2 linked regions of the Pelodiscus sinensis genome follow. The main gene of each other region encodes a partner of the protein of the gene in region 2 in a complex. Links are inferred from orthologs where the notes say so. Each region holds a gene or a part of one and is shown on either strand. Other genes may lie near its edges.

Evidence for each region.
Region 1: the proteins of ABL1 (region 2) and SH3BP1 are in contact, whole or in part, in a crystal structure (PDB 1ABO), measured with the Mus musculus proteins. The link is inferred for Pelodiscus sinensis from reciprocal best matches to the Homo sapiens genes ABL1 and SH3BP1. Residues at the interface, in NP_033724.2 of Mus musculus: Tyr70, Phe72, Ser75, Gly76, Asp77, Thr79, Asn94, Glu98, Trp99, Trp110, Pro112, Asn114, Tyr115; in NP_001303613.1 of Mus musculus: Ala607, Pro608, Thr609, Met610, Pro611, Pro612, Pro613, Leu614, Pro615, Pro616.

What each region holds. Positions count from the first base shown.
Region 1 is NC_134711.1:92,432,067-92,446,566, forward strand, and holds the start of SH3BP1 (SH3 domain-binding protein 1), read right to left. Parts: upstream 11,764-14,500; 5' UTR 11,487-11,763; coding exon 11,425-11,486; intron 11,377-11,424; exon of another isoform or gene 10,330-11,376; intron 9,754-10,329; coding exon 9,711-9,753; intron 8,757-9,710; coding exon 8,652-8,756; intron 7,215-8,651; coding exon 7,138-7,214; intron 6,793-7,137; coding exon 6,681-6,792; intron 6,492-6,680; coding exon 6,415-6,491; intron 5,464-6,414; coding exon 5,328-5,463; intron 4,363-5,327; coding exon 4,294-4,362; intron 4,032-4,293; coding exon 3,941-4,031; intron 3,426-3,940; coding exon 3,283-3,425; intron 3,195-3,282; coding exon 3,083-3,194; intron 2,638-3,082; coding exon 2,556-2,637; intron 1-2,555. UniProt on the Homo sapiens protein: GTPase activating protein (GAP) which specifically converts GTP-bound Rho-type GTPases including RAC1 and CDC42 in their inactive GDP-bound form.
Region 2 is NC_134732.1:13,782,629-13,797,128, reverse strand, and holds the start of ABL1 (tyrosine-protein kinase ABL1), read right to left. Parts: upstream 7,387-14,500; 5' UTR 5,777-7,386; coding exon 5,641-5,776; intron 4,208-5,640; exon of another isoform or gene 4,135-4,207; coding exon of another isoform or gene 4,104-4,134; intron 1-4,103. UniProt on the Homo sapiens protein: Non-receptor tyrosine-protein kinase that plays a role in many key processes linked to cell growth and survival such as cytoskeleton remodeling in response to extracellular stimuli, cell motility and adhesion, receptor endocytosis, autophagy, DNA damage response and apoptosis.

The sequences.
Region 1 (14,500 bases), on a different chromosome or scaffold from region 2:
GGAGAGGGGGAGAACAAAGAAGGGAAAACAAAGCAGCTAGTGAGGGAGTTAGTGGGTTACCTGTTAGTGAGATACCTGGGGCAGGATAGTTCTCTTACTGCAAATCAATTGCCTTTGCCTATACCCCATTTGTCTCACCTGTCTTTAAAGAGAATTTCCCCGACTGACTCTGTAAGTCACCTTTCCTGGCCCTGATCCCACCGGTATTAGCCACAATGAAATGCAAGCCAATTATGAACTCATGCACTGTGTCAGCCACCCAGACTTCCTGCTCGGATTCCAGCGGTCTCTTTTTCAAACTCGGTTTGGGACACATGCCCGCGCCCCAGTCACTGTCTCTACTTGAAACCCATTAGATGGTTCAGTTTTGGAACCCTGCTTCCCTAAATGTGTTAGCATGTCTGGTTCAGTGGCATGCCTGAGTCAGTGGCAATCACTGCTGTGCATTGTGCTGATCCCACTGTAGTCAAACTCCCATGATTATTGTTCAAATGCTGACATCTAAACAAAAATAGCAGGTGCTGATCCTGGTACTTCCACCAAGCTTTGCCCTTTCAGCTCATTTCCCAAACTAGAAGAGAGAGAGAGAGAGACTTTCATTAGCCACTCGTGGTAGTCTGTTGGCCAGCCTGACATTTAGGCACCATGCCAGCATTTAACGGAACCATTTCCTTTAATGTTTGCATGTGTGTCCATTTCTCTTTTTTTCCAAACCAAATATATCAGTTTCTCTCTCATCATTCAATATAGCTATGAACCAGATTAAAATCCCCTCTTTCATCCTACACATCAGATGCAGAGCTTCCCTCTTCCTCACTAGCAGCTGCTTTATTCCTTGTCTGGTGAATGTCTGCAAGAAAAGATTCTAGTTCCACGGCCAGGTCCTCCAGCCTCTCAGTGTATCTTTGGCCTCTTTTCACTGATCCTCCTCTGCAAGTCCAAGTCCCACTGAGGATCTATAAATTGGCCCATTTTCATATCCTGGAAGGCCCCGGTGTTATCTGGATATGCCATGAACGCACATCTCCGCCAGTTCAGATGGAGTTTCTTCTTTCCCTCTGCTTTAGCTCTTGGTTGGGCCCTGGCCTGCTCAGGTTGATGGCTAGCTCAGGTTGAGGGCTAGCTCCAGACCAGATGTCAAGAGCTTGTATCAGATCTGGATAAGACAGTCTATTTTTCGGTGGTAAGATCTGCAGCCCAATCAGAGCTGGGCCACACATGTGGGCTGTGAGTAATGCCCCTTCCTGTCCTTCCTCCCAGCTGTTCATCGGTGCTATACCGTAGAGTTGAATCATAGACGCTTCCAAGGGAGCTTTTCCCTCAAAGATACTGTGGTTTGCCTCATCTACACTGGGACAGACCAACCTCTCCCATTTGGGCTGCTGTGGATTACAAAAAAAGTAGAAAACTAGTAAATATCCAGTCTTACCCACATCCTCTAGCTGGCTCAGTTCTTAATCCAGGCATCGGCTTTCCTCTGTGGTCAGCAACCCTTTGATTTCCTCTGCACCTGAATTGTCAGCTCCTTAAGACCGCACTGCAGTTCATCTCAGCAGATTCCCAGTTGGTTAAAGCTTGCTTAGTCTCCACTGGTTTGCCTATGGCAGTCCAGTTGTTGGTCACCTCATCAATCTGTTTCACCATTCCAACTGGCTTTGCCAAACTGCCCAGGCACTTCATAGCTGCTGCTCCAACAGGGATCTCATCTTGGCCTGCAAGTTGTCTCTCAGCCCTTTCTGGGAAACCTTCAGCTCTTGTCCTAATGCCTCTTGGGAAGTCTCCACCCCCGCTTTAGGGCTTGTTTTAAACGCTGCTGGCTATTTTTGATTACTGCAAGCCTTTTCCATGTTTTGTTCCATCTTGATTCCACAGAAATACCGGCTCACATGCTCTCTCCTTGGAAACCGGATCCCACTCCTCACATAACCCCAGGAGGCTAATCAAAGTTTGAGGTCCTGGTGGACGGTCCAGTGGAGAGCAGAAATTGGTGGCAGTCAGGTATTTTTATGTAGTTTTGTTTAATTACAATGAAGGAAGTACAAAATCCTGTGCCTCAAACTGCAGAAGAACTCACATAGTTGGAAATACCACCTTTTGCTCACAGTACCAAGAACACTCCTTCAGTTTGCCCCCTGACCCTAAAACCTCTCCCCAGGCTTCTCCCTAGGGGAGACTGTCTAAACATCCTGCTCTCAGTGACTGCTTCCCTCGCTACATGCACAAACACAACACTGTTCAGCAAAAGCCCTCCACCCACTCAGTCCAAACTCCCAGGGTTGATTCACAACCCCTCTTTGTGTTGGAGGAGGGCTTCAGATGAACTCTTCCTGGCAGTCATGTGAATGGACAAGTGCATGCTGCCCAGTCTCAGAGATGCTGGTGATCAATGCAGTCACCAGTGCTTCTGGGCAGAACGCTCTCAATACATCATGTGGGCCAGATCTAGCCTGGGGGCCCCATGTTTGACCCCCCTGCTGAAGAATCCATACTCAGAAAGGTCCTTTTTGATGATTTTAGCCTGCCTAAGAATGCCCCTTTCTCTAGTTCTCTCTTACCAGGCTACTTTAAACCAGTCCTCATAGAGTTCAAAGGTCATCAAGGGCTGGGGCAGCTCTCGCAAGTAGGATTTCAGTGCACCTGAGATAGAGGCAAAGGGTCATGATTTAGAGCAGGGTTTTCAAACTATGTTTTTTTTTTATTGCTGGGACCTGTTTTGAAATTATTTCTGGCAGCGATGAGCCCTTCATGCCATGCCACCTTAATTTCTTCACAGCTGCTGGGGGCAGTGCCGCCTTCAGAGCTGGGCTCTCAGCCAGCAGCTGCTGTCCTCTAGCTGCCCTCTCTGAAGAATTCCGGCCGTCAGCCCTACACATGGCTGTGCCAGAGCCCCCTTGTGGGCAGGAGCCGATGGTCAGAGGCCCCTCGTGTGCAGGGGCTGACTGCTTGCACCCTCCCCATAATCATCTCACGAGCCCACCCACAATTTGAGAACCACTGTTTTAGAGACAAAGCCACACTTCTGGGGCTGTCGCTTGTCCAGACAATGTCTCCAGTGCCCCTACCCTGGGCCTCCAGCACCTACCTGCAACAGCGTGTGGGTCAGAATAGAATTCCTCCAGTGCGTTGGAGCCACTGGCCAAGCTGCACTTCAGCTTCCTAAGCACCGAGGCCCCTGCTGCCAGCCTGAAAAGTCCCTAGAGGAAACAAGCGAGAGAGAGTGTGAGGGCTGGACAGACTGGCCGGGGGGTGGGGGGGAGGAGTTGGGCAGCAAGCGGCACCTACCTCTTCCCTCATGCCTGACGCCAGCAACATCATGACACAGGCTTCTATGGGGAGGGCAATCTCCCGATCCAAAGTCCTCAGGTGCGTCTCCAACGACACCCCATAATATCCCAACACCGGTGTATCCAGGGGGAAAGGGGACTCTGGAACGGAGCAGAGAAATGGAGGGTTGGAGGACACCCCCCCACTGGAGTCTCTCGCCTAGTCAGGCTGAAGAGGGATCAGTGCTCCTCCAGCCAGCCCCATGTGAAATGAGTGGAGGGATATGAGGTCATCTCCTAGCGGGAACGGGGATCCATATCACAAAACCGCCTTCACCGCAACTGGCTGTAAATTGCCCTCTGATCCACAGTCCCCGCTGGGAGGTGGCAGACAGTGAGTGGAGGGAATCTCACATTCTTAGCTTTGGTCTCTCCAGCAAGGGTTGGGATACGTCAGCAGGGGTCAGTGTGGAGCACAACACCGGCCCCTCTGCCCCTGCTGTGTGTGTATAAACCCAGGGTAAGGAGAAGAGGAGGAGAACTCCCCAGCAAGCAGGCTCAGTGGGAGCTTAGAGCGACCCTGAGGAAGGAGTGGAGTGAATCTACCGTGTGTGTAGCTACTTGCTCTGCCACCCACAAAATCTCCTGCCTCCCCCAGCCCGGCTCCTCCTACTCACCTGCCTGGCCATGGGTCTCCTTTAGCTCTGCCAAGACGGTGTCCAGGGATTCCAGAGACTTCCGATGGTACTGAGCTTGGATTTCCAGCAGCTGCCAGACAGACCACAGAGAAACCCAGCTTTACTCGGCACCTCAGAGACACCGCCCGATGCTTTCGGGCAGGACGTGCAGTGCAAAGGAGAGTGGTGAGGACGGAGTGAGAGCTGTAGGGAGACGCCTCTTTCACCAGCAGTGGTGGGTTGGTGGGATCATGGGACTGGGAGGATGCCAGCGCAAGATGGAGATGTAGTGGACTCGGCACGCAACGGGAAGGAGATGGGCAGAGGGAACAGCATGCAGGGAAGGGACTTACTTTGATGAAGTAGTTAGCATAGGTGTCCTCCTTGGTGGAGAAGTGATAGAGGTCAGCCATGTACTCGTCCTGGAGAGGAAATACAGCACACAATAACCTTCTCTTCAGCACCACCACAAGGAAGGGACTCTCCCCCGCAGACCTCCTCTTTAACCACCCCCCCACCACACACACACACACTCCTCCCACACAGACAGCGCTCCCATAGCCAGATCACCTGTCAGGCTACACCAAGAGGTGTGGGGTAGGGGAGGGGGAATCACAAGTGGCAGCCTGGAATCTTAATGGCGATTGGAGGGGAGGCAAAGACAGCAGCCCAGAGGAGCAGAGTCCGGCTCATTAGATTTGGGGTTACTTGAGCCAGCATTTGCATTCTCCCTTCAGCCCCCCCCAGGAAATGAGTCCCTACGTTCCTGATTTGGTATTAGGGTTGGGGTGGGTGCTGTTACGCTGGGTGCTGCACAAGACAGCCCTTGCTTGCTCGGAAGAGCTCGTTGTCTGGGTAGACAGGACAGACACACGCAGGGAGGACGGCAGGGCTGTCATCTCCAGGGAACAGAGGCCCAAAGAGCTGACATGACTTACCCAAGGTCCCACAAGGAGTCTGTGGCAGAGCTGGGAGCTGAATTCAGATCTGCTGAGAGCCAGGCCTGTGTCTGTAAGCACCCTATCAAGCTCTCCCACAGTGGCTTTACACTCTGACTACCACACTGCTGCTTTAAACCTGTTACACCAGAGCCTGGGGCTGGTACTGGAGTCTGCCGGCTGTCTATCCCCTCAGGAATCTGGGACACAGCCATCTTACTGAGGCCAACAAGCTACTGGGATGGGCTGCATTTGGACCAACCTTCTCACTCTAGACAGAGCTGTAGACTGTAACTAGTGATTGGCTACCGGGGCCTTCCAGGACATCTCCATTGGAGTCAAGTGGATTGGTACGCAGCTGGCAGAATGATCCCAGACCTGGCCTCCTTTCCCCTTCTTTGCGTCATCTCTTCCCCTCCCCAAAGAGTGCAGATTCGCTTTCCACTCGCCTTACACTGCTCCACCCTTCGCTTCACCTCCTCTTCCTCATCCTTCAGGTTCTCCAGTTTAATGGCAGCAGAGGACCCCCCAGGGCCAGGGCCAGGGCCAGCGCTGTTACTGGAGCTCTTGACAGCTTGGTTCAGCCTTTGGGTTATAAAAGAAGAATTGGGCTGACACACTTGTAACCTGACAGCATTCAACACTAGGGGCGCTGACACTGTACACAGATAGGCACAGACCCTCCATCCACATCAAAACTCTGGCGGATAGGTAGATGAGCCTAGAAGCAGAAGGGCTGTCCTTCTCTCCCGCCTTGACAGAGCGTTGGCTTGTGGGTTATACCCTCCATGGCACCATTCCTGCCCCAGGCAGAGGATTTGCTCATTCAGAGTTACAAAGCACATAACATAGAGAAACTCCCTCCCTCCCCCACACTTCTCCTGGAACTAGGACCTGTCCTAGGGGCCGTGGGCATGCAGGCAAATAATCCCTACACCACCCACACGAGTAGGCATTGAGGATTTTGCTGCCATAGGCAACTGCCTGGTCTGCCTTTAACAGGAAGGGCCTTAATCCAAGAAAGCTCTGTGTTTTCCCTGTGGATCAGTGCTTAGGAAAAGGGTCGTTGGAAGCCCTTTTTACTCAGTTTTAACACTCGAAACAAGGCTTTCAGAGTGTCAAGTTCACTCCCTAAAAATTGCCCAGGGGAATCATGGTGTGAAGGGGAAGGAAGGGAACAAAGAATTCAAAGGTGCTTCACATTCATCCCTTTTGGGGCCTTGGGGGGAGGGGGAAGGAGGAATTCTTAGCTAAGAGCATGTTGGACAGACATCTATCAGGGATGGTCTAGATGGTGCTTGGTCCTGCTGTGAGAGCAGGGGACTGGACTTGATGATGTCTTGAGGTCCTTTCCAGTTCTAGTGTTCTATGATTCTATGAGTGCACATGGCATCTGGAGTCATCCTTGCATGTCCGGGATATAGACCCTCCCTGCTCTGAGAGTGCAGCTGTCAGCATCCTCCCCCATCCCCACTCTCAAGGGGGCAATCATCTGGGTCTCTGCTGCCACTCACCACCCTCCCCCCGGCTCAATACCTGCTCTTCATGGAGTTCCAGTCCAAGATCAGCTTCTGAAGATTCTTCTTGTGCTTCAGGATGACAGGCAGCTCCTCCTAGTGGAGATTGGGAGATTGTTACACACCCCACCCATGCGCCAGGCCTGGCTGCGTGAAGGCTGCATTTTGTGCAATCACAATGGGAGAGTGGGGAGAAGGGAGTGGAGAGAGCACAAGCAGGGAGGGAGAGTGAGCAAAGAAGGGAAGGGGGAAAGCAAAGGAAAGGCGGAGTGTGCTCAGGGCTACCTCACTCAGTTTATTCAGAGGTTGTAGAACGTCCCTCTCCAAGGTGATTTCAAACTCAGCCAGGACCTTGGCCAGCATGCTTTGTATGAAGCAGCTCATCTCTAGAGCTCTTCTGCAGGCATAGAAGGGGAGAATCACAGCAGGCTCAAAAATACTGTGCCCCCCACCCCCGCCCCAGCGTTCTGCACCAGGGAGGTAGGCCCTGCCAATCCCAGGAACCAGTTCCCAGATCCTGCTGCACCCACAGGTCGAGAGCACAAATCCCCCAGTGTGTGCGCTCAGAGGCAGAGTGGGAATCCTGTCACCAGGAGGCTGCCGTGCGGCTGGGCAGCGTGAACCTCGATGCGAGAGCTCAGAGGCTCAGCCTGGGAGCATGAACCCTGGGACCGGTGCCCTGGTGTACAGTATGGACTGATACTTTTCAGGGCTCCTTTGTCTCTTCCCTGGGGGCACTTACCCGAGGCTGGAATCGGTGTCTAGTTCTTTGAAGCTCTCAGCCATAGTGATGGACAGAGCCATCAAGGGCAGCTTCTTCTGCACAGAGCCGAGGAGAGAGAAAGGGGGGAAGGAAACCATAAGCAGAGCCCCTTCCCCCCCAACGAGCCCCTTCCCCACCAACGTGTGACTGACACCTTCAGCACCACACCCTGCTGAGGGCAGGGCCAGCCAAGCTGAAGCCAAGGGGAGAGACACGAGGGGTATGATCCATCCTGCCTCTTTCTCACCAACCCATCTCCCCAATGAAGGGCCCTGGAGTGCAAAGTCCTCCTTCAGCATCCAGTCTGGAGCTGTGAGCCTCATCCTAGAATGCTAGAGTGGAGGGGGCTGGGTCATGGAGGAAGAAATTCCCTTTACTGGAGTGTGATTAGACCAGAGTTCCCTGTAAGCTGAGCACCTGTGTGGCCACTCGGGAGAGATTCCAACACCACTCAGCTGATTAGCAGAGCGCCCACAGCTAGATTCTTTGTTTCTCCTGGTGGTGCACGGCCACGCATGCCTCCGTGCACATAACAACATTTATTCTGCACACGGGTGGAAAAAATCCACAAATGGATGGAAAAGATTAGAGGGAACATTGATCAGGACATCTTCACGCTAGGACAGGCACACTACATGGGCGGTCAAAGCACAGTCACCGAGAAGACACGCTGAGCCCCAATGCAGTTTCCATAGATGAGGGTAGCCAAGTTACTCCCTGGAATGCAATGGCCAGCTTGGCTGTAGTGCCAAGTGCACAAGAAGACTGATCACTATTGTGTGTTCAAAAGCTTTAGGGGGTAGCCGAGTTATTCTGTAACAGGATAAACTTAAAAAACTACAAATAGTCTGGTAGCACTTTAAAGACTAACAAAACATGAAGGTGGTATCATGAGCTTTTGTGGGCACAGCCCACTTCTTCAGATGACCAGCTACATGTTTTGTTAGTCTATAAAGTGCTACCAGACTATTTGTTGTTGTTTAAGTTTTTACTATTGTGTGTGTTAATCTCAGACAGGAATAGGTGACCCTGAGGTGAAAGGTTGTGCAATATAGTGCTCTGCACATGCAGCTTCCCAAACTCAGGCCCCCTAAGTGCTGTGTCCCAATGGGGGAGCAGATCAGAACAGTGACTTTGGGGAGAAACGTTCTCTATTCCACTCCTGGCCCCCGGTAAGAGCCAGGCGCACCCCCAGGCTCTAGCAGAAGCAGAGAGCTAGCTGGGAAAGCTCAGCACTCCACTGCCCCATCGCACCCCCCACCCAACCTCTCCAAAGCACAGACCAGACCCTCCAAGGTGCAGGGGAATAGATGTGAAGCTGCAACACGCAGGAAGTCTCGGGTGGCGCTTTGCACCGTAGAAGCATCTTGCATCCAACAGAGTTGCTCCTAGAGCGGCTGGGGCAGACTGCTGTGGGAGGAGCTGACAGCCACTTCCTGTACAGGCTGCCGAGGCAGCACAGCTAGCGGGGAGCAGCGGGCAGAGGCGCTTACCACACGTTTGTCCATCTCTGAACCGCACTGCCCCTGCAGGCATGCCTGGAGCCTCTTGGACACATTGTGCGCGGCCCGCTTGGCTGGCTCGATTCGCTGCTCAATCTAGAGAGAGGGAGAGAGACTGGGAAATGGGGGGAGGGGTTGGGGGAAAGCTTTCCATCCTCAGCCACTCCTCAGTGTACCAGGTTCTAGGGCTGCCGTGGGGTCTCTCTGCTGGGGTTTCCTAGCTGTGGAGACAGCTGCCCGTTGAGGAAAGACAGCTTCCTTTCCTCCAATGTGGAGGGCACAGTGGGACCCTCTCTGCCTATTGACACCCACCCACGTTCTTCTAGTGTCTTGTGGGGGCCTGATGAGGCATTGTCTCTCTGTCCCACCCCACTGCCAGAGAAGATGGACTGTCAGGCCTTGCCTATGTATGGGAGAGAGACATCTGCTTTAAAGCCTTAGCTAAGTGCTAGATGGCTTTTAGCTCAAGTAGTAGAGGCTCATGGCTTTTTCCCCTAAGGACCAAGGTTCAATCCCACCTGTCCATCAGCTGTACACCTACATTACAAGCACAGCCCGTTTGCATAGTGCCCCTGTTCTACCACTGCTTGATTTGCCTGTGGAGACCAGACAGAGCTACGTCAGTTTCCTTATGAGGTTATAACAGTTTTGTCTGGTCTCCACAGGCAAAACCAACCCACATTCCAGTGTGGCCAAGGCTGAGTGATACTAGGGTTCCCTAACATGGCTCAGGACATAGTACAGAGAAAGCCTCAGTGGCAGAGCTGGCATGGGAGACAAGGCCCACCAAGCATTGGGCTGCCTTGCTCAGGCTTGAGGCTTACTCTGTCTCCCCCTGATGCAATCAGGGAGGCTTGTCAGAGGTCTGGCCCCCACTGTTGCACGTAGGCATCGTTCCAGGATACAGAACAATCCAGGCTGAGGCTGCCCTGTGACTTAGGTAAACACAGAGAGAGAGAGAGAGAGTATTTCACACGCAGGCACACCAGATGTTTGCCCCACATGCAGGCACAGGCCCACACATGCCTGTGGACTGAACCCAGGCCTCACCTGCAGCAAGTCTTCAGTCAGGAGCTCAGCTGTTTCTTGGGCTCTGGGGAAAAGAGTGGGAGGGAGAGCGAGAGACTCATTACATTTGGTGGCCTCCAACCAGGCTCTTCGGGAGGGAGGGCACCAAACCCCATTGCTCTGGTTCCGGGTCATCATGTCTCGGGTTAAGAGGAGCTTGCAGGTGAGCCCATGGACAGAGGATGTGAAGCATGAAAATGGCTCCCAGCCTGCGAGCCAAGGGAGCGTGGGGCAGTAACAGCACTGGGAGACTTCATGCAGGTTCCTTCTCTGCTAAATAAGGGATCTAGGCCAAAATTTTCAGAAGCACCTAGTGATTTGGGGCACCTCACAAAAGACACTTGATTGACAGGGAATGGTGAGTTCCTGCCCTCTAATAACCAGGGCCCTTCAAGACACCTTGGGGTTGTGCACTGAAAATCACTAGGCACTTGGGCAGATCTTGGACCCTAAAATCTCCTGATCAGTGCAAAGGAGGTAGGGAGTAGAGAGGCCCTGCCACTGCCCTAGTTCTTACGGAGGTGAGGGGGAATTGAGGGAGGGGTCTGCTTTGGGGCAAGGCAAGAGGAAGGAGGAAAGAGCCAGCTGCAGAAATACCTACCACTCCCAGTGAAAGACCCACTTCCCTGGCCTCAGGCAAACAGTGAGGTGGGTTGAAGCCATTCTCAACTGCCTGACATTAAAACAACAAAATATGTGTGTGGGTTGGAGCAGAGACCGGCGAGCCCAGCCCTGCCAGGGCTCCCAAGGTTTTGCAAGGGGAACAATTAGACGAGAGAAAAACAATAAAGCAGAGGTGGCCCTGAGCTGGGGAGCGGCCGGAATGGAAATGTAGTTAGAGAGCCAGAGAGGAAAGGAGAGCAGCGCATAGGCCCAGAGCCCCCTCCTCTCTCACTAGCCTACCGCCACCCCTCACCTCCTCAGGCAGGCTTTTCTGAGACCCTGACGGACACAAGAGGAAGCTCCCCTGCCACCGTGTGTAGGATTCAGCTCCAGATGGGCCCAGGAGGGAGGGAAACCCTGGCAGGGAATGTGCCTTTAGTCTTGTTTCTCCTCCTGCATTGATCTTCCTCTCTTCCCCCAATGGGGCCGGAGGATTCCCTCTGCTGCTGACGTCCCCACTTCCCTGGCCCCAGATTGTGACTGCCCTGCTTCCCCACAGAGGGGCACAATGTGACAGGCCCTCCCTGCCTCACCTGTCCGGATTAGGGTCAACACCTGTCCTAATTGACATGGGTCTGAGTCACACCGTCGCAGCTGAGCGTCCAGGGCCAGTCAGGACAGAGGGGCCCCACTGCTCAGTCCAGCAGGACAAGTGGAGCCAGCCCCTGCTTGTTAACCTGGCTTTTTAAAGGACCAGCGGGAGTCACTACGGAGCAGCATTGCTGTGTCCCACCAACTCCCCCAGCCAAGAGGGCTAGGGGAAGTCTGAGTTAACCAAGTCCTCCTAGGGTTTAGCTAAAGCTTCCCCAAACAGGCTGCTCTCAGCTCCCCCAGCCCCTCCCATGATCACTCCACCCAGGGCCTGGGTGGTCCTCACAGCTCCTGCCCTGGCTCCTGGCAGCGCTGGGTCTCTGGCCCATGTGCCGCTGAAAGGCTGGAGGGGAGGGGTTGTGAAATGCTCTCCAGTGCAGCTTCCTGCCCTCCCGTCAGCCCCACCAGCTGGAGGATGAAAGGCTTAAGGCTGGGTCCTTACCGTCCTGTGTTGCTGGGATAGGAGAGCTGCTGCCGCATCCGATTAAACTGCCTCTTCATCATCTTGGGAGCGGAGAGGAGAGCACAGCACCGGCCACCCCCCCCACTCAGCGCCAGCCAGCTGCACTTGTCATGGGAGGAGACAGCCCGCTTCTCTCTACTTCCCTCTCTCCTCTCCCCCTCTTTCTCTTCACTCTGACTTGGCTTCGGACTCCCGCCCTTTTCTCTCCTCCCTGCCCCGCTTCCCTCACTCTTGGGTTTCCTGCCTCCCTTTTCTCCTTCTCTCACTTCTCTTTCCTTCTCCTTCTCTCCTCTGTTTCCTCTTTGGTCTGAGTCCCACCCTCACCCCCACCCCGTCATCGCCAAGCAGGTAAGAGCAGTCAGGGCTCCTGGTGCTGCTCTCTGTTCCTGTCACCACCCCGCAAGTATAAATAACTTCAGCCAAGCCTTAAAGGGGAAATATTATTACAGCAAACATGTAACAAGGCAGAACAAGCACCCGCCACAGCCTAACCAGAGCATGGGGCCCACACACTCTCCCTCTCGTTTCCCACCCGCTGTTTCCACCGGTGCCTACTCTGCCTTCCATACGCCTTGGCAGACTCATGCGGGGACCCTGCAAATCCATTCCACTAGCGAGAGGCAGAGATGGAGAAGGCAGGTGCCATGCTGGCTTCTCACAGCTCTGCCAATGCACCTCAGTCATGAGCCTCAGCCCCCCTGCTGTACCTGACCTGGAATACCCGGCCCACTCTGCCCGTGCCTTTCCTGCCTGGCTTTGGGGCAGATGAGCTGATTCACATCACCACAAAGTACAGCTCCAGTCCACTCAAACCCACTGGTGAATTTGACACAGATGCACTAACCAGGGTCTGCCCTTGTTTTTTTGACACTGAAGTGCTCATCGTAAAATGGGGAACCCCGGCCTCTGTTAGCCCCCCTGTCGCCAAGGTGCTCCCTTGTGGGAGGTTCAGACCCCCCTCGGCCTGGTGTGAAGAAAAGATTCAAACTTAGTGCTCTCACCCTACAAGGAACAGCCCAGCTCCAGAGCAAGAGGCAATACGGGGTAGTCTCAGCTCCTACTGAAGCTGTTCCACGTTGTGTAAATAATTAGCCAATGGAGCAGGGACTTGGCTTCTCCTATTGCCTAGGCATGTGCCCTAACCTCTGCACTGGAGTCAGTCACATGGTTCCCTCCACCCCCACTCAATGACTAGCCCTTGTTATTAATTGAGGCAATTCATGGCCATCCATAAGGACAATGACTACCCCTCAGCAAAACCAAGGGAGGATGACTCTCTAATCTGGTGGGTAGGATCTTCTCCCAAGCTAATGAGAGACCCACATTCAAATCTCTTCTCCACATCAGGAAGGGGAGTGGGGAGATAAACCTGGGAAGCGAGGGAGCCAGATAAATGCCCTAACTGCTAACAGTTACAAGTTTCAGCCTTTTTTTTTATAGGGAGGGCACTTTCTTCTCCTGTTCTGTGAAGCTGGCTAACAGCCTGCACCAAAACGGTTTGGGTCCAGCAGCGTGCTCTCTTCGGCCTGACTGGATTTACTTCCATTTGCTGATTTTTTTTCTGTTATTGCAATTTTCAAATTTGGTTCAAACCAAACCATCGGTTCCCCTGAAACTACCAGTAAACCAGCACACCACTTCTGCACCCGGCTCTGCTCCCGATCTGCTGCGCTTCCTGCTAGTCCAGTCCAGCCCCACACTGCGCCCACAGGCCTTTGTGCATCACCCTCCTACCCTGAACTTGCTGCTATTTCTGTGCAGCCCTTGCAGCACTGCCAACACACCTCAGTCTTGGCCAGCAACAGTCCCTTCTATTGCCGCCACAACTGCTCCCCAGTGCTGCCCATCTACCTCACTCCTCATAAGGCAGGACAGTCACTTTCTGTTTGTACAGCGCCTTGCACAACAGGGCACCAGACATGCTGGCCTCTAGGGGCTCTTACAATAATAAATGGCAGTCTCGGATGATCTCCCCCAATAGCTGTCAGTGTATCTCATCTGCAGCTCCTGCCGCTATTCCGGTCCTGCGACCCCCCATCCCAGCGCTGCACCCCAGCCATTGCAGCAAGGGGACTCCCTCCTCCCCCACAGTGCTGCGGGCTTATGCTGGGTCCCTAGGTGTTGCATGTGCACCCTGGAGAGAGGCTGTGGCAGTGGGTTCACCACCCTTGTTGCTGTAAGGTGCACTGCAGCACCTCCCACTCGCACGTCTTCTGCAAACCAATGGCATGGGAACATAGTGTCACAAATGCGCTGCTCCAAGAACAGAGGGCAGCTCAGAGCTTAGCTGTGAGATTTGCAACCCCCTTGGTGCCTTCCTCTGCAGAGCCAAGCCGCAGCCTGCAGCAGCAGTAGCAGCAGAGCTCTGGGACATGTGGCAACAGGGCCCAGGTCTTACCCTCCTGTTGATTTTACTGGCATGCTCGAAGGAGATAATCTGTTAGACCAGGATTTTCTTTCCCTTTTGTGAGATGATCCCCAACCCCCCACAGCCAGCAGCAGCCTGTCCAGAGAGTGGTGGAGGGCCAGGGAGTGCTGCAGCTAGCCTGCACAGCCAGTGCGAGAGCTCAGAAGCTGGGACAGGAAGTGGTCAGAGTGCATGTGCACGTATAAAGAAACACACTGCAGAATTGTCAAGGAGGGAGAGAGGCAGGAAAAAGTGACCCAGCTGACCATCCCCATGCATGGGCTAGGACTAAAATAAGTAGTGCTCCTGAGGCCTTATATGGTACTCCGCACCAGCGTTCCCACCAAACTTCTCCACCCACGTGCAAAATAAATGTGTGTGTGCACCAAGGCGTGTGTGAATGTGCCTCTCCCGTAGAAACAAAAAACCTAGCTGTGGGTGCTCTGTTAAGCAATGGGGCAGGATTGAATTAGGGATATGATCATGTACACATTTAACTGATGAACTTGGGCTGATCAATTAACCTTCACAGTTCTACACAAAGGCCCCCCTCCATGCTGCGGCCTTTGTATGAGAGGCAGCAACGCACGGGGGCAGGCAGGAGCTGTACATGTGGGGAGCCAGCTCCATACATGTACCAGCTCCCGT
Region 2 (14,500 bases):
GCCCAGCCATAGCCTGCTTCCTGAACTCCTGTCCCAGCCCTGAACTTCCTGCCCCAGACATGAGTCTCCCTGCACCCAAACTCCTTCCCAGAGCTTGCACCCCAATCTCCCAACCTGGGCTAAGCCCAGAGCCCCTCCCACATGCCAAGCTCCTTGGCTGAAGAGCAGAGCCTGCACCCCAACCTCCTGCACCCCAACCAGTTACCCCAGCCTGGTGAAAGCGAATGAGATTCGGGGAGGAAGGGAGATGGAGTGAGCAGGGTGAGGCCTCCAAGAAAGAGCAGAGCAGGGATATGGCCTCAAAGAAGCAGCATGAGGGAAGTGGGGCAAGGGTGTTTGGGTCTGGGATAGATCTTAAATTGCATTTAAATTAAAAAAGTGATCTTGTAGTTAAAAATGCTGGAGACCACGGTCTGCAGTATACAGTAAAATTCCAATAAGCCGGCACCTTTAGGACCCAGGGGGTGCCGGATTATCAGATATGCCGGACTATCGGAAGGGGGGGCTATGAGGAGTCTGGGGCCAGATCCCTCATAGCCCCCCCTTCCGATAGTCCGGCTCTGCCCCAGGCGTCCCTGATTCAGCCGCTGCTGTCAGTTTCAGTAGCGGCTGAATCGGGACACCTGCAGCAGAGCAGCTAGGGTGCTGCCGGGTTGGTGCAGTAGCGCCGACCCTTGGCGCAGCGAGACCAACCCGGCAGCACCCCAGCTGCTCTTGGGGACGCCTGGGGCAGAGCAGCTGGGGGGCTGCCGGGTTGGTCCCACAGCGCCGAAGAGCGGCGCTACTGGACCAATCCCACAGCACCCCAGCCACTCTGTCCCAGGTGTACCCAAGTTAGCTGCTGCTGAAACTGACCAGCGGCTGACTCCAGGAAGCCGGGGCAGAGCAGTTCTGCCTCAGGCTTCCTGGAGTCAGCCGCTGATCAGTTTCAGCAGCGGCTGAAAAGGGGACAGCTGGGGTGCTGCCGGGTTGGTCCCGCAGCCCCGAGGGGCAGCGCTAGGGTACCTACCCAGCAGCACTCCAGCTGCTCTGCCCCCAGCTTCCCCGATTCAGCCGCTGGTCAGTTTTAGCAGCGGCTGAATCTGGGAAGCTGGGGGCAGAGCAGCTCCAATGGTCCGGCTGCCCGGAGCACTTTCAGGTTCCTGATGGTGCCGGACCATCAGGAGTGCCGGACCATCAGGGTTTTTTGTTCAATGTAAGTTTCTGGGCAAGGTGTAAAGATCCTAATAAAAATGAAGTTTCTCTTTGTATTGTAGCATTTACCAATAAAGAACGTATATAGTGTTAGCCTATGGAAAAAACAAAGGGAATTAAATCCAGAAATTTATACTAGTTAAAATATTAATACTCCTATACTAACACTGAAGTCAAACAATGAAAAGGTTAAATCTCTCTTGATAAAGAAGGCTAAATGCCACACATCGGACATATGGTTTTTTTTATTACTACCCCAAATCTACATATTAACATCCAGCAAACCTAATTCTGTTCTTAGGTATGCACTTGGACTTCAGTTCATTTGTAAAGGAACTGAGCAGCTGATGACCAAGGGTAAACAAAGGCTCCATGTGTGCAAAAAGAACAAGTCAGAGTTATTATGAAAACTTCAATTTTGCACTTCCTGACATGAGTTCTGTAGCATTCCGTGAAATGTAATTTGTATTTAATATAAAATGGCTGTATTATATTCAACTGTCTTACATGCATAAGATAAGTAAATAAGCCACGTGTCATTCCATTTTTATTGCGTGCCTCTTAAAAGCTATGGTGGCTGTATACCAGCTGAGAAGTCCCCCACCATGGACAAAGCTTCAGCTGCCTATTTAAGAGAGATGTAATGTCCCTTTTGTATCGTTCCAGTAGAATGGATGACCTTTAGATGGGCCAAAGGTCTGATCACTTGCTCTTTTAAACATCAAGAGCATCTAAGACATTATTGGCATTATATAATGAACAATAGCTAAACAATGGAATTGCTCTTATTAAAGTTGTTTTGATGTACATTGTTGATATCCAACAGTACTTATACTTTAATCACATTGCTAAGTAACTAACAGTGCATTTGAGATTTTAAACGTTGTGAAGCATTCCTGTAGACATGACTCTGTCAGTCTTACATTAAATAGAACTTAGCACTGAAAGTAGTTCTGCTTAAATCAATTTGATAGCTTATTAAATAAGGCACTACTTGATGGAAGAGTGACCAATGTGCCATACATAATATCCACTCAATGGTACTCTGTTCTTTGTATCTTTAAGGTTGACAGAATCATTTTTAAAACGCATAGACTGACATGGACTTTGCTAAGAGATTTATAAACAGAATATTAAAAATTGTTCAGTAGGTCACCTTTGTGCAGAGGCCAAATATAATATTCTTTTAAACATACTTTGCTGAGGCTGATAAGCCACTCCAACTGCTCCTCTCTCAGCTATCGACTAAGACATAGGTCCCTTGTTTGAGACCTTACCTTGGGTAACGCAGCCTTCAGGTTCTTTTTAAATGTGTTTATACAATAGAAGATGAGACGCTTAACTTTCTGAGACCAGATGGTGCACACACTATATGGTAGAGAACATGTATACACTGATTTAGATCTTACAGGAAACCATGTAATGAAAATACCAAAGAGAAATTATATCAAACAATTTTATTTTAAAATCCTAAAAAGGATCTCAATGTTTTTATACAATATGATCCACAATCTTTTACTGGTAGGATTTGAAATAATGAATCATTCTCTCACAATATACCAAAAAAGGCAGTACAGACAGATTATGGACTATTTTCTTTTACACAGCAAGAAAACTGATACCAAATTTGAGAGAGATGGGGAGCACCTAAACTATTTTTCCCCTCTCTACAACCTAAACAGCTAGACTATTTTTTTAAAGTTATATATAATTCATTCCCAAGAAAAGATTTTGTAGGCAAGGTTTCAGCCAGGAGCTGTTTTATGCCCAGTTCTCCCCCCTCTCCCCCAAAACAAAAAAAAAGGAATGAGTAACTAGACACAGCAAAGTGAAAAAGATTCAGGGGGGGTAGCTGTGTTAGTTTGTATCTGCAAAAATGAGGAGTCCTGGGGCACCAATTCATCAGATGAAGTGGGCTTTACCCATGAAAGCTTATGCCCTAATAATTCTGTTAGTCTCTAAGAGGACACAGGTCTCCTTGTTTTTTTTGTAGAAACAGCAGCAGTCTTAAATACTACTATGCTACTGAGAGCCTCTTCATATACTCAGAGGCTACATCTACACTGGAAGCTTCTTGCACAAGAACTCTTTTGCGGAAGAGTTCTTGTACAAAAACTCTTCCAGAAGAAAGCGTCTACACTGGCATGTGCTTTTGCGCAAGAGCATCCATGCCAGTGTAGATGCTCTCTTGCACAAGAAAGCTCTGATGGCCATTTTAACCATAGGGCTTTCTTGCGCAAGAAATTCATGTTGCCTGTCTACACTGGCCTCATGCGCAAGAACAGTTGCGCAAAAGGACTTATTCCTGAATGGGAGCGTCAGAGTTCTGGTGCAAGAAGCCCTGATTTCATAAATTAGAACGCCAGTTTACTTGCGCAAGAACACGCAGCCAGTGTACACAGGCAGCAAGTTTTCGTGCAAGAGCGTCCGATTTGCGCAAGATCGTGCCAGTGTAGACACAGTCAGAGGTATTATAAGGGAAGATGCTTTTCTCATACGGATAAGCAAGACTGAACTTTTGCAGGCCCCTTAACCAATGTAAGAATTTTGAGGTTTCCTTTCAAGATACGTACTTTTTTTAAAATCAAGACATTGAGGTTTCTTATGGACATATGGAGTATTGCCATTATAGACAATACTTTTTCTTGTAAACGCACTGGGTTCTTCTGTCCTCATGTCTTCCTGACAAAAAGTTATCTTTTGATCTATTCTTGTTAAATGATCAAAATTCAGGATTTCTGCCTTGTCTCTCAGATCAAACACCAAACATGATTGGAATACTGTGCTACTTGCAGTTTAGTGCTTTGTTTCTTGCTCCATGCCATCTGAGCTTGAAGCTCTGTCTAGAGAAGCAGAGAGGCAACAGAGATGGGACACATATGTGTATTTGATTAAAAAAAATAAAGTACTTGGTTTGGAGTGTTTCTGCAATGGGAACATGCCACTGATATCAGAGCTGTTGTAGCTTTATCATCCAGCTTCCCAAGAATTAGGTTCACTTTTCAAACAATCACTGCATAGACACATTGTATGGGAAGAGGGGAGAAATACAAATCATTTTTAATCATTGATGATTTTAATATTTTAACACACTTACTATTTCCACAGCATCTATCTGTAAATAATCCTAAAAATGATATTGAATTTTCTGGATCTTGTGGCCTTGGGAAATTCACAGTGAAGAAGTTTCGCAAACTAAATGTCCTTACAAAATAAGCCTCGGGCACATTTATTTTGAGAAACTTTTTTACCTGCTATTTAACTGTGTTCCCAGAGAAAGCAAATATTTCAGAGTTATCTGAAGTACAAAAATGGCAAATATTGATCTGTCTCATGCTTGAACAAAGTTACTCTGAGTAGCATAAAAATGCTAAATAACCATTGTCAGAATCATATTTTCTAGCTTAGTTAGTACCATGCTGTCTCAGAAGATCTTCTGAATTCAAATGTGCAGGATAGAGATTTAGTAAAAACATTTCAGCAACATATTTTTCTTTCTGTCTCTCTCTTCTAATGGGAAAACATAGCTTGAAATCTAATCAACTGTACAGTAAAAAAACATTTAACCAGCCACAAAAGCTCACTATCTTGTTTTCTTTTTGGGGGGAGGGATAAAAATAATATTTCTCTGTCCCCCATTACCGGTTCAAGACCCCCACAAACTAGGGTGACTAGACAGCGAGTGTGAAAAATTGGGACAAGCAATGGGGGGACGGGGAGGGTCCCTATAAGGGGGGGAAAAAACAAATGCAGAGACTGTCCCTATAAAATCAAGACATCTGGTCACCCTGACATAAACGTAAGGTGGTGGTGGTACTTGCTTCCAGTCCGGCAAGATGCTTTGCACAAGCTAGCACTCCAAGAGCGTCATAATAAAGGACTGAGACCTCACTGGCTACCTTGAAGCCCAGAAAAACTGAGCATCCACAAAAGTTGTCAACTACACAATGTAAAATCAAAACAATTCTCTTTATCTAAGGTGTTACTAGTATAGTAAATCCAAGTGTTTCAACGGAAGTGTGATATATTTCAGTTGCCCTTCAAATAAATGCAAAAAGGTTCATTATGACATTCTAGAGTCAAATCATCCAAATCCTTTACTAAAAAAATTCAAAAGATTCAAAAATTTGAAACCTAAAACCAAAAACATTTTTAAAATATCTGTCCTAAGCAACATTATGAAGAAGTTGCTTTCCTTGCTATTAGCTATACAAGAAATCCCACTGGGGTTTCACAAACCTGGGAAATGGCAATCTAACCATGACAAAAAAAAATCCTTAATAGCTGACCATACAGAGAGGTCACCAGAAACCTTAGGGAGCAGAAAAGGGAAAACGCAAAGGCTAAAACCCTTCTTTTTAAAACCATTTCATACAATTTAATAAATTAATATTGTATCCTAATATGCTAACTAAAAGCAAAAGGACCACAAATCAAAACACCTACCATGTTCCACGAAGACATTGCAGTGTGGGCCTCCATGCCTAGATGATTCTTTCTTCCCTGCTCCTTTGATAAAATGCAGGGCAGGCAGACTTGGCCTTCTCTGGTCCCCAAGAACTTTTCCAGGCTGCTGCCCCATAAAGTAACAATAGGCAATCTTCCCCAGAACAAGCAGTGTAAGGACTGAGATCCCTGATCTTCCAGGTTGGCTGAGAGTTTGCAAGTAAAATATTTTAGGTGTGTGCGTTCGTTGTGTTTATCACATCAGCAAACAGCTCACATTAAGCAGAGTTCAGTCAGGTGCACAGATTCTTTCAACACTTTAGAAACTGCAACAAGATTCTTCTGGTGCCTTTATGCAAAGCTCTGTTATAAGATGTTCCATTTATTTAGCAGTTACAAGTGTTACCAAAGTTTCTTGTTTGTAATGAGTCTTCCACTGAGTAAGTGGGAGCTACTTTATCTTACCAATAAGAAAACCACATATAGGGCCACCCAGGGCAGGAAATAGTCATTCCCATTGCAATCAGTGTCAGGATTTCTTTTTTTCCTTTTCTTTTGCATAGCACTTAGTTAATAAAGGCCAAAAAGCCAGTGATTTGGCTTCAAGTATTATTAAAGTGAGAGAGAATCAACTGTGTCAAAGTCATTTTAGATTTCCAATTAAACAGTTCAAAGTCTTTGAGGATCCATAATGACCTTTGAGTAAGGGGGATATTTCAGAGGAACTTGCAATCATTGAAGACCAATAGGTTTGCCTTCTCTGATAAGTTTTCTGCTACCTCTCCAATGCTCTGAACAAAGTGAATGGGCACTTCGGGATCATTTTGGAGCAGAAACAATAACAATCATTGTGACAATACAAGTAATGAACTACCCATCTGCACCAGCTTGCTGCTTATAAGGCAGAGAAGCCAACCCGGGCTTGTTCCTAATTGTTCATGAAAATACAAATGCCATTCTACTTGGTCCAGTCGATGCTGGTGGCAGGAAAGAGGCGCTAGTCCAGTGATGCTCTCCAGGAGGAAGGTTTCTGCACAGCAGCCAGAAAAGGTCAAGTTGGGGTGACGGGGCTGGCTTCATCCCAACTGGGAGCCTAGCACTGCAAAAGGCCTACTTGGTGAATTATGTAGTACGGCTCTGGCTCCTAAGGCTTGGCAAGAGAGTCTGAGGCCAAGAACCCTAATCCCCACAGGCCCTGAATGGCCCCCAAGGGCCAAGGATTCCAATAGGACAAGGGACAGAAACCCCGGAGGGGGTGTCGAACCCCAGTCTGGGGTGGAGGAGAAGGAGCAAAAGGAGACAAAGGGGATGAAGCTCGCTCTGGTGGGGGGGAGGGACGATCCAACACCCCCGGTGAGGGAAGAGGACACACAGCGGGGGGGGGGGGGGAGTGTTAAGGCCTACTCCGAGGAGGGGGAAAGTCCCGTGGGCGGGGGCGGGGAAGGGATTAAGCCCCGGTCGGGGGGGCCCCAGCGGGGCAGGGAACAAGCCCGCCAGGGAAGCGGGGCCACTGACGGGTCAGGCGGGTGACGGGGGCGATTCCCCCCACCCCGGGGGGCGGCTGCGAGTCCCCGGCTCCCCCCGGCCGGTCACATCCCCGGCCGGCCGCCGCCTCCTGCCGGCTTGTCGCCGCGGGGCTCTCACCGGCACCGGGCGGGGCGAGGGGGTCCGCTCCCGGCGCGCTCAGGGCGAGAGGAGCCCGCGGCACACGGCGGCCATGACAGGAACCTGCTAGCGCCCGAGCGAGGCTGCGAGGGGCGGGGCACGCAGCGGGCGGGGGCGGGGCTTGGAGGGGGCGGGGCGAGGGAATAGGGGGAGAGGAGAGGGGGAAAAGGAAGGGGGTAATAAAGGGGAGACAGAGGGGGGAGGAGGAGAAAGGGGGGAAGGAAGGAGGGAAATGGGGTAGAGGGGGAAGGAGGAGAAAGGGGGGAAGGAAGGAGGGAAATGGGGTAGGGGGGAAGGAGGAGAAAGGGGGGAAGGAAGGAGGGAAATGGGGTAGAGGGGGAAGGAGGAAAAAGGGGGAAGGAAGGAGGGAAATGGGGTAGAGAGGAAGGAAGGAGGAGAAAGGGGGGAAGGAAGGAGGGAAATGGGGTAGAGGGGGAAGGAGGAAATAAAGGGGACACCAAGGGGGAAGGGGAGGGATCAGAGGAAGGAAAGGGGGCCTGGCAGACATGTTGATGCACTGCACAGTATCAGGCCCACCAAGCAGGATTGCCCACCATAGCCCTAATTACACCACCTCAAAGGGGTGGCCATGTTAGTCTGTAACTTTAAAAACAACCAGTGGTCCTGTAGCACCTTAGGCTACATCTAGACTGCTGCTTTTTTTCGGAAAAAGGTACACAAATTGCGCACTGCAACTTGCGTACCTTTTTCCGATTGATTTTTCGGAAGAGGCTTTTTCAAAATTAGGTCCATCTACACGGGGTCAAATTTTGGAAAACCTCCTCTTCTGGAAGAGCCCTTATTCCTCATAAAATGTGGAATACAGGGCTTCCGAAAGAGTGTGTCTGCTCTTCCAAAAAAAATGTCGGAAGAGCAGACGTGTTCCCTGGATGTGGTGGTATCCCAGAAAAACTCCGTAGTCTAGACATAGCCTTAGAGACTATCAAAACTATATAAAACCTTGAGCTTCTGTGAGTAAAACACAAGCAGTCCCGATGGTTTGTTGTTCAGGTCACGTGTTCTCGCTCTGTGCTCTCTGTCCTGGCAACATCATGCATTTAGGAGACACACCCTCCCTCAGGTTGCTTCCCGGGTTGGATCTCTCACCTGACCCATCTTACACACCCTTTCCAAGGACTTGTCTACCTAGGGAAAATGACCAAAATAACTAGTCCGCTTTGAAAGTAGATTAAGCTAAATCAGGAAAGGCACACTTTTATATCAAGAAAAAGAGTGCCCCTATAGAGAGTTATTCCAGAATAGCTATCATGCTTTAAATTCACCCTCTACTTCATTTCAGGACAACTTCCCTGTGTAGACAAGCCATAAACTTCACCTTGCATTTGGTTACAACTGGCTATACAATACTCTATGGCTGTTTAGGGGCTAACCTCATCTATGTTGTCTACCATGTACCAACAAAGTCCACTGTATCCTACCACACTCTACCCATTGTTCCCTATAATTTTGCCTTGGGCATCTGGCAACACAAGGTTTACTCCCTGACTTGATTTAGAGGTACCAATGAAAGCCCTGCAGGGGATTATTTCTCTTGTCTCACTGCTGCTTATTTGCTCTTCCCAGAGCATGGGCTGCAAGCCTGATGTTTCTTTTCCAAAACCATGAGTTCAGGAACCTGCCCACATTCTCTGAATGCAGCCATCCAGCTGAGCCCCCTGAGTACATCTGTTTTTCTATGCTGTTTGCAGGGTCTATAAATCCTGTTGTTGGCTATAGCAGACATTTCGATTGTCAACTCCTTGGGAACTGCTCCATCTCTGTTTCAGAGAAGGACAAACACAGCGACAGTGCTTAAAGATTGCCAGGTTTCTGAAACAATCAGTTCCAGGTTTTAAACTCATGAAGGCTCATGAGCCTGCCCATCCCTAGGGTAGCTCAGAGGGAAGGCTCATGGTCCTTCATGAAAAGACAGTGGTTTTCTTTCCAGCAGTGATGGATCCTCCTCTCACAAAAGCTGGGATTTCAATTGTACCTAAGGGAGTTAGGTACCCATTTTAATGGGAGTTGGACACCTAACACTCTCAGACAGACTCCTTTGAAAATGGTAGCCTAGGATAATTTCCCTCTCAGTGCAAATGATAGGGAAGGGTAGGAATCAAAGGAACCTACTCATACAAAGGAATATGTTGGTTCAGGAATTGAATAAAGAGAGTACGTGAACCCAGAAATGTCCTTTGCAAATGGCCTTCAGGATTTAGTTGTGGATTTAGTGAACTAGCAGGATTTGCATAGACCACTGGCGACCTCTACTGACTATTTAGAAAAATATTCGAACGCCTGAAAGGAAAGAACCCCTTACCTGCTGATGCTTCTGGTCAGAGGCCCCTGCCCAACAACAGTGGGTTCATTACTTAGCTTCACAGCAATTAACATGTTCACACATTGTCATCTATTTGACAAGGAACCTAACAGGTGGAAACTTCCTATGCTAAAACCAAAAGGAAACAAAAACTCGGACCTAAAACAGATGGGCTGGATTTTGAACTAACTTCTCGTGCATTTCTGACAGTGCCTGCAGATAAATAGGTGTGCAGAGGCGTAGTGAGGGTGTTATGCGCCCGGGGGCAAAGGAAAAATTTGCGCCCCTCCCTCCCCCCCCATCGCCATGTGGCACAGCACCGAACCTGGTGCACAGCTGAGGGGAACTTGTACTACAGTTTGGGGCCGGGCTCCCGCATGCACTAACCCGCCGGTGGAGATGGAAGAGGGGTCGGGCTTGGAGCAGCGAGGCAGGCAGGAGGCTCCAGCTGCCGGTGGCAGGCAGAGTAGGAGCACGTGAGCTGAAGGGATAACGGAGGGAGCAGAATGGGATTAAATTGGAGCCTTCCTAGCATGGTGCCCAGGGGCAACTGACCTCTCCGGCCCCCTCGCTATGCCACTGCCCCCCCTCCTGCAGATCTATCATCTGATGCATGTGCAAGATCTGTGAGAGCCGTCCCATGAATCTGCAGTTAGTGTCTGTGGCGCCTGCTTCTGGGTGATGTCTCAATGCTGCCACATTCACCTCCAAAGAGGGGGCTTCCCAAAGCAGGCCCTTGCTACTGACCCTCAAAGCATCCACAGGTCCAGTCTCCTTTCAATGGGCCCACTTCCCAGGGCTCATTGATCTCGGATCTGGCTTCCATCCCCTCTCCAACCTTTGCAACTGCCCAGAGGTGCTCACCTTCCGCCTTCTACATTCCCACCTCATTCACCCCACAGGGACAGTCTCTGCCTCACTAGTCCTAGGGACTATTCTACCAAGACGTAATACAAAGTTTATATGTAAAAGGACTCACTACAAAGCTAAACACTTCAATGAGAGAATGATTAATACAGAGACATGTCTACATCTGCTGCAGGGAGACACCTCTGCCTGCCTCCACCCCTCTCCCCCCAGAGTCTACAGCCCCATTGCAAAGCAGGGGAGGGGAAGAAAAGAGGCTGAGGCCCATCCAATGGGACCGAAGCAGTCATGAGCAAGCCATGCCCGGGAGCCATTCTCCTGTCCACTGCTGGTGCTGTGTTGCTTCAGGCACGCTGAAATGCAGTCACCTCTAGGGTGGGCTGGACAGCTGTTTAACACCTGCACAAGGTTTCAGGCAGGGATCAGTGCAGGCTGCCTTCCTGCAGAGCCCCCATCAGAACTAAGCCTCCTGGCTTAGGAAAAGAATAAACAGGAGGTTGGAAATTAACCCGCCCAGTCTCATGTCCCCTAGGCAGGGACTGAGCCATCTACATTAGGCCCCAGCTGAAGTATCATGTTCAGTTCTGGGCGCCACATTTCAGGAAACATGGAGAAACTGGAGAAAGTCCAGAGAAGATCAACACAAATGATGAAAGTTCTAGAGAACATGACCTATGAGGCAAGGCTGAAGGAATTGGCTGTGTTTACCTTGGAAAAGAGAAGACCGAAAAGGGACATGAGAGCAGCTCTCAAGTATCTAAAAGAGTATCATGAGGAGGAGGAAGAAAAATTGTTCTCCTTGGCCTCTGAGGTTAGGATGAGAAGCAATGGGCTTAAATTGCAGCAAGGGAGGTTTAAGTTGGACATTAGGAAAAACTTCCTGCCCATCAGGGTGGTTAAACACTGGAATAAATTGCCTAGGGAGATTGCGGCATCTCCATCACTGGAGATATTTAAGACCAGGTTAGACTGATGAGGGATGAGGTAGGGCAACTTGTCAGGGATGAGCTAGGGCAACTAAACTTTGGAAGCCCCAGGGGCTACACTGATACTTACAGAACATGTTGAGGGCCTCAACTTAAGTGTGGTTACATATGCAAGAAAATATATACAAATAGCTTCTCTCACACTGACAGGCATGAATACAAAGATTAAGGCAAGACTACACAACACACAGGCCTCATTTAAGTCAGCTCTGCTGATATTCATAAAATGCAACATTTACCTGATTTCTACCCATGTGACAGCACTTTTCATGAGCAATGACAGTCCAAGAATTTAACTACTAAAACACACATCAACAGAAGATCATTACACTGACTACTTTTTTGTTTTGCCTCCCACTTGCCAGCCACGTGTTGATCCCCACATAAACCCAAACTGCACCGCGGGGCGCAAACGAACTGGCCATGGGCAGCATACCATGTTATTAATAAATATTTTTAAACCTTTACCTTTTCTGTCTGCTGCCATGTCTCCTCTCCTTGCTCCATCATCTCCCCTGGTGCCTGCTGCCCCCCAACTCCTCACTCTCCTTTGCTGGCCTGACTCCTGCCCTTCTACGACCTTTCCCCCTCCACCAGCCCTTCTCTCCCTCCTGTGCCCACTCCTCCAGGTGAGCTACCCCTCCTCATCCCCTCTTCTAACACCTCTCTCTACACACCTGCCCTGCCCCTCGCCTCTGGTGCTCGTCCCTTCCCTGCAGGTGTCTGCCCTTCTGCTTCACCCGCAGAATACCCTGGCACCTGCACCTTCCCTTAGCCCTGCACCCTCCTGGTGCTCCCCCTTCCCTCACTGCCCCTGCCCCTTTTGCCCTCTTTTTCCCTGATGCCCACCCCCTCTCCACTCTCTGCCCCCATTCCTCTCATGCCCCTGTGCCCTCACACGACTTGCTCCATCCCCACCTTTCTCATGCCCACCCCTTTCAAGCCTTCTCCCAGCACCTCTCCCTCCCCCTCTAGACCATAATGCCCTTCCCCTCTCCTCTCCTCTCCCAGCATCACCCTGTCCCCCCTCCCACTGACACCTCCCCTCCTGCCCTTTCCCTCATTGTCTGAACTTGGCCCCTTGCCATTTGTATCTTCCCTCTCCCTTCCACCTCCACACAAGCTCCTCCCCTCCCCTCCCCACAAGCCCCTTCCTCTCCCACCCCTTTCCCCTAGTTTTCCCCCTGCCCTGCCATACCGTACCATACCGTACCTTCTGTCTTCCACTTTGTGGGCCTGGAGTCTGCACTCAGGCCCCAAAAGTCCCCGTACTCCAAACCAGAAGCTAGGCTGGCACCACGCGGCACCAAGCACTTTTAAAGTCCCAGACCGTGATGTCACGTCACGCCCGGGCGTCTCCCCGGTCACCTGGAAATGCTTCACAGCATGCGCAGGCAAGGGGCAGCTGACAATGCTGGCATGGGCGGCGAGTTCTATGGCCATCCCTCCCGGCTCCGGACTGTCCCTGCCGTACGCAGCGTGCACGGGCAAGGAGAAGCCAACTGAATGCTGTGCATGGCAGTGATGGCCCAGGGCCAGGGGGATGGCCATAAACTTGCCGCCCATGCCAGGTGAGCCTGAGCAGCGTGCACTTGCTCTCACCTCGGCCTGGTGTCCCCCTAGCATGGTGCCCGGGGGCAATTGCCCCCCCCTGCAGCCCCTTCACTACGCCTCTGTAGGTGTGACCTAAATATGAGTGTGAGAGGAAGTCGGGGCTTATGAAAGACAAACTGGGGCATGGAAGGTCCTCTTATAGCAGAAGCACCATACAGGCAAAGACCATTGCACCTTTTCTTCTTCCTCTAAAAACAGAGCCTAAAAATTGGCCATTTTGATAAGAGATCCACTCAAGACACCCCACACACTCCTTGTTTCCTTCATTCCTGAACCTGAGCCTGCTGGTGACAAGAGGTTGTCCCATGGTTACAGAAGAGAGCTGGGAGGAAAAATGGTCCTGGGTTCTCAAGCCAAGCCAAGCAACTCAGTCTCAACTGGCACTAATCTCATTTGGAAATTGATTTCTCACACAGCCTTCAAACCACATTAGCTAAACCACTTTCAATAAGGTTTAACCCATCTCCAAACCCCCTCCCTCTGAGAACCATTATGGGTTGTAGTGTGATGCTGCCAGAGGTACAGAAATATGGCAATATTTTTACATTCGACTTTCAAATCAAGCTATTGCTGGATGGCAGCTGACCAAGCCCCCCTGGGAGGCAGAGAAGAGCAGTAATTTCACCCCTCAGCCCACTTTTAAACCAGGTTAAGGCACTGAAAGTGGTTTAAAAGCGGAGAGGTCAGAGAAGGATACAGGGTAGAATGTGGGTAATTCACCTGGCCACCTTTTGCTGAATCAACAAGCTTGGAAAGCAGGAACCATTGCTGAATACTGTCTTGCTAATTATATTGCTCCACACCCCATGGCATTTGAAAGCTACATATTAAAGCTCTGCAAAAAAAATCCACAGCAGCAAACAAAGGCTTGACTGTCAGTGACCCAGGTAAAAAAATATAATCAGCTCTCTCACAAGGAAAATAAATGTTTCTAACCAGCTCTAGCAAGCACAGGCTAACAGTGTAAGGACACCCCTCTGGTTAAGTCTTCTTCAGTGTTTTCCTCCATGAATACTTGAATGGCAGAGGTGCTTATATCATTCACAGGCTGCAGGAGGTAACCCAGGGGTGGGCAAAAGGGCCTTCATGGGCCAAATCCGGCCCACCAAGCAGGTGGATCCGGCCCACGGAGGCCCTGCTGCTCTCCTGCCCCCAGGCCAATTAGGATCTGGGGGCAGGGGAGCGCGCAAAGCCTCCTCCCGCCCTGCCAGGAGCACATGGCGCTTTGAAGCACCGCACACTGCTTGCAGGGCAGGGGGGGAGAGCAGAGGAGGCTTCGCATGCTCCCCCACCGCCAAGCCAATCAGGGCCTGGGAATGGGGGAGCCGTGTGAAGCTTCCGCTGCTCTGCCCCAGCCCTGCAAGAAGCCCGTGGCACTTCAAAGTGCCATGTGTTCCTTGCAAGGTGG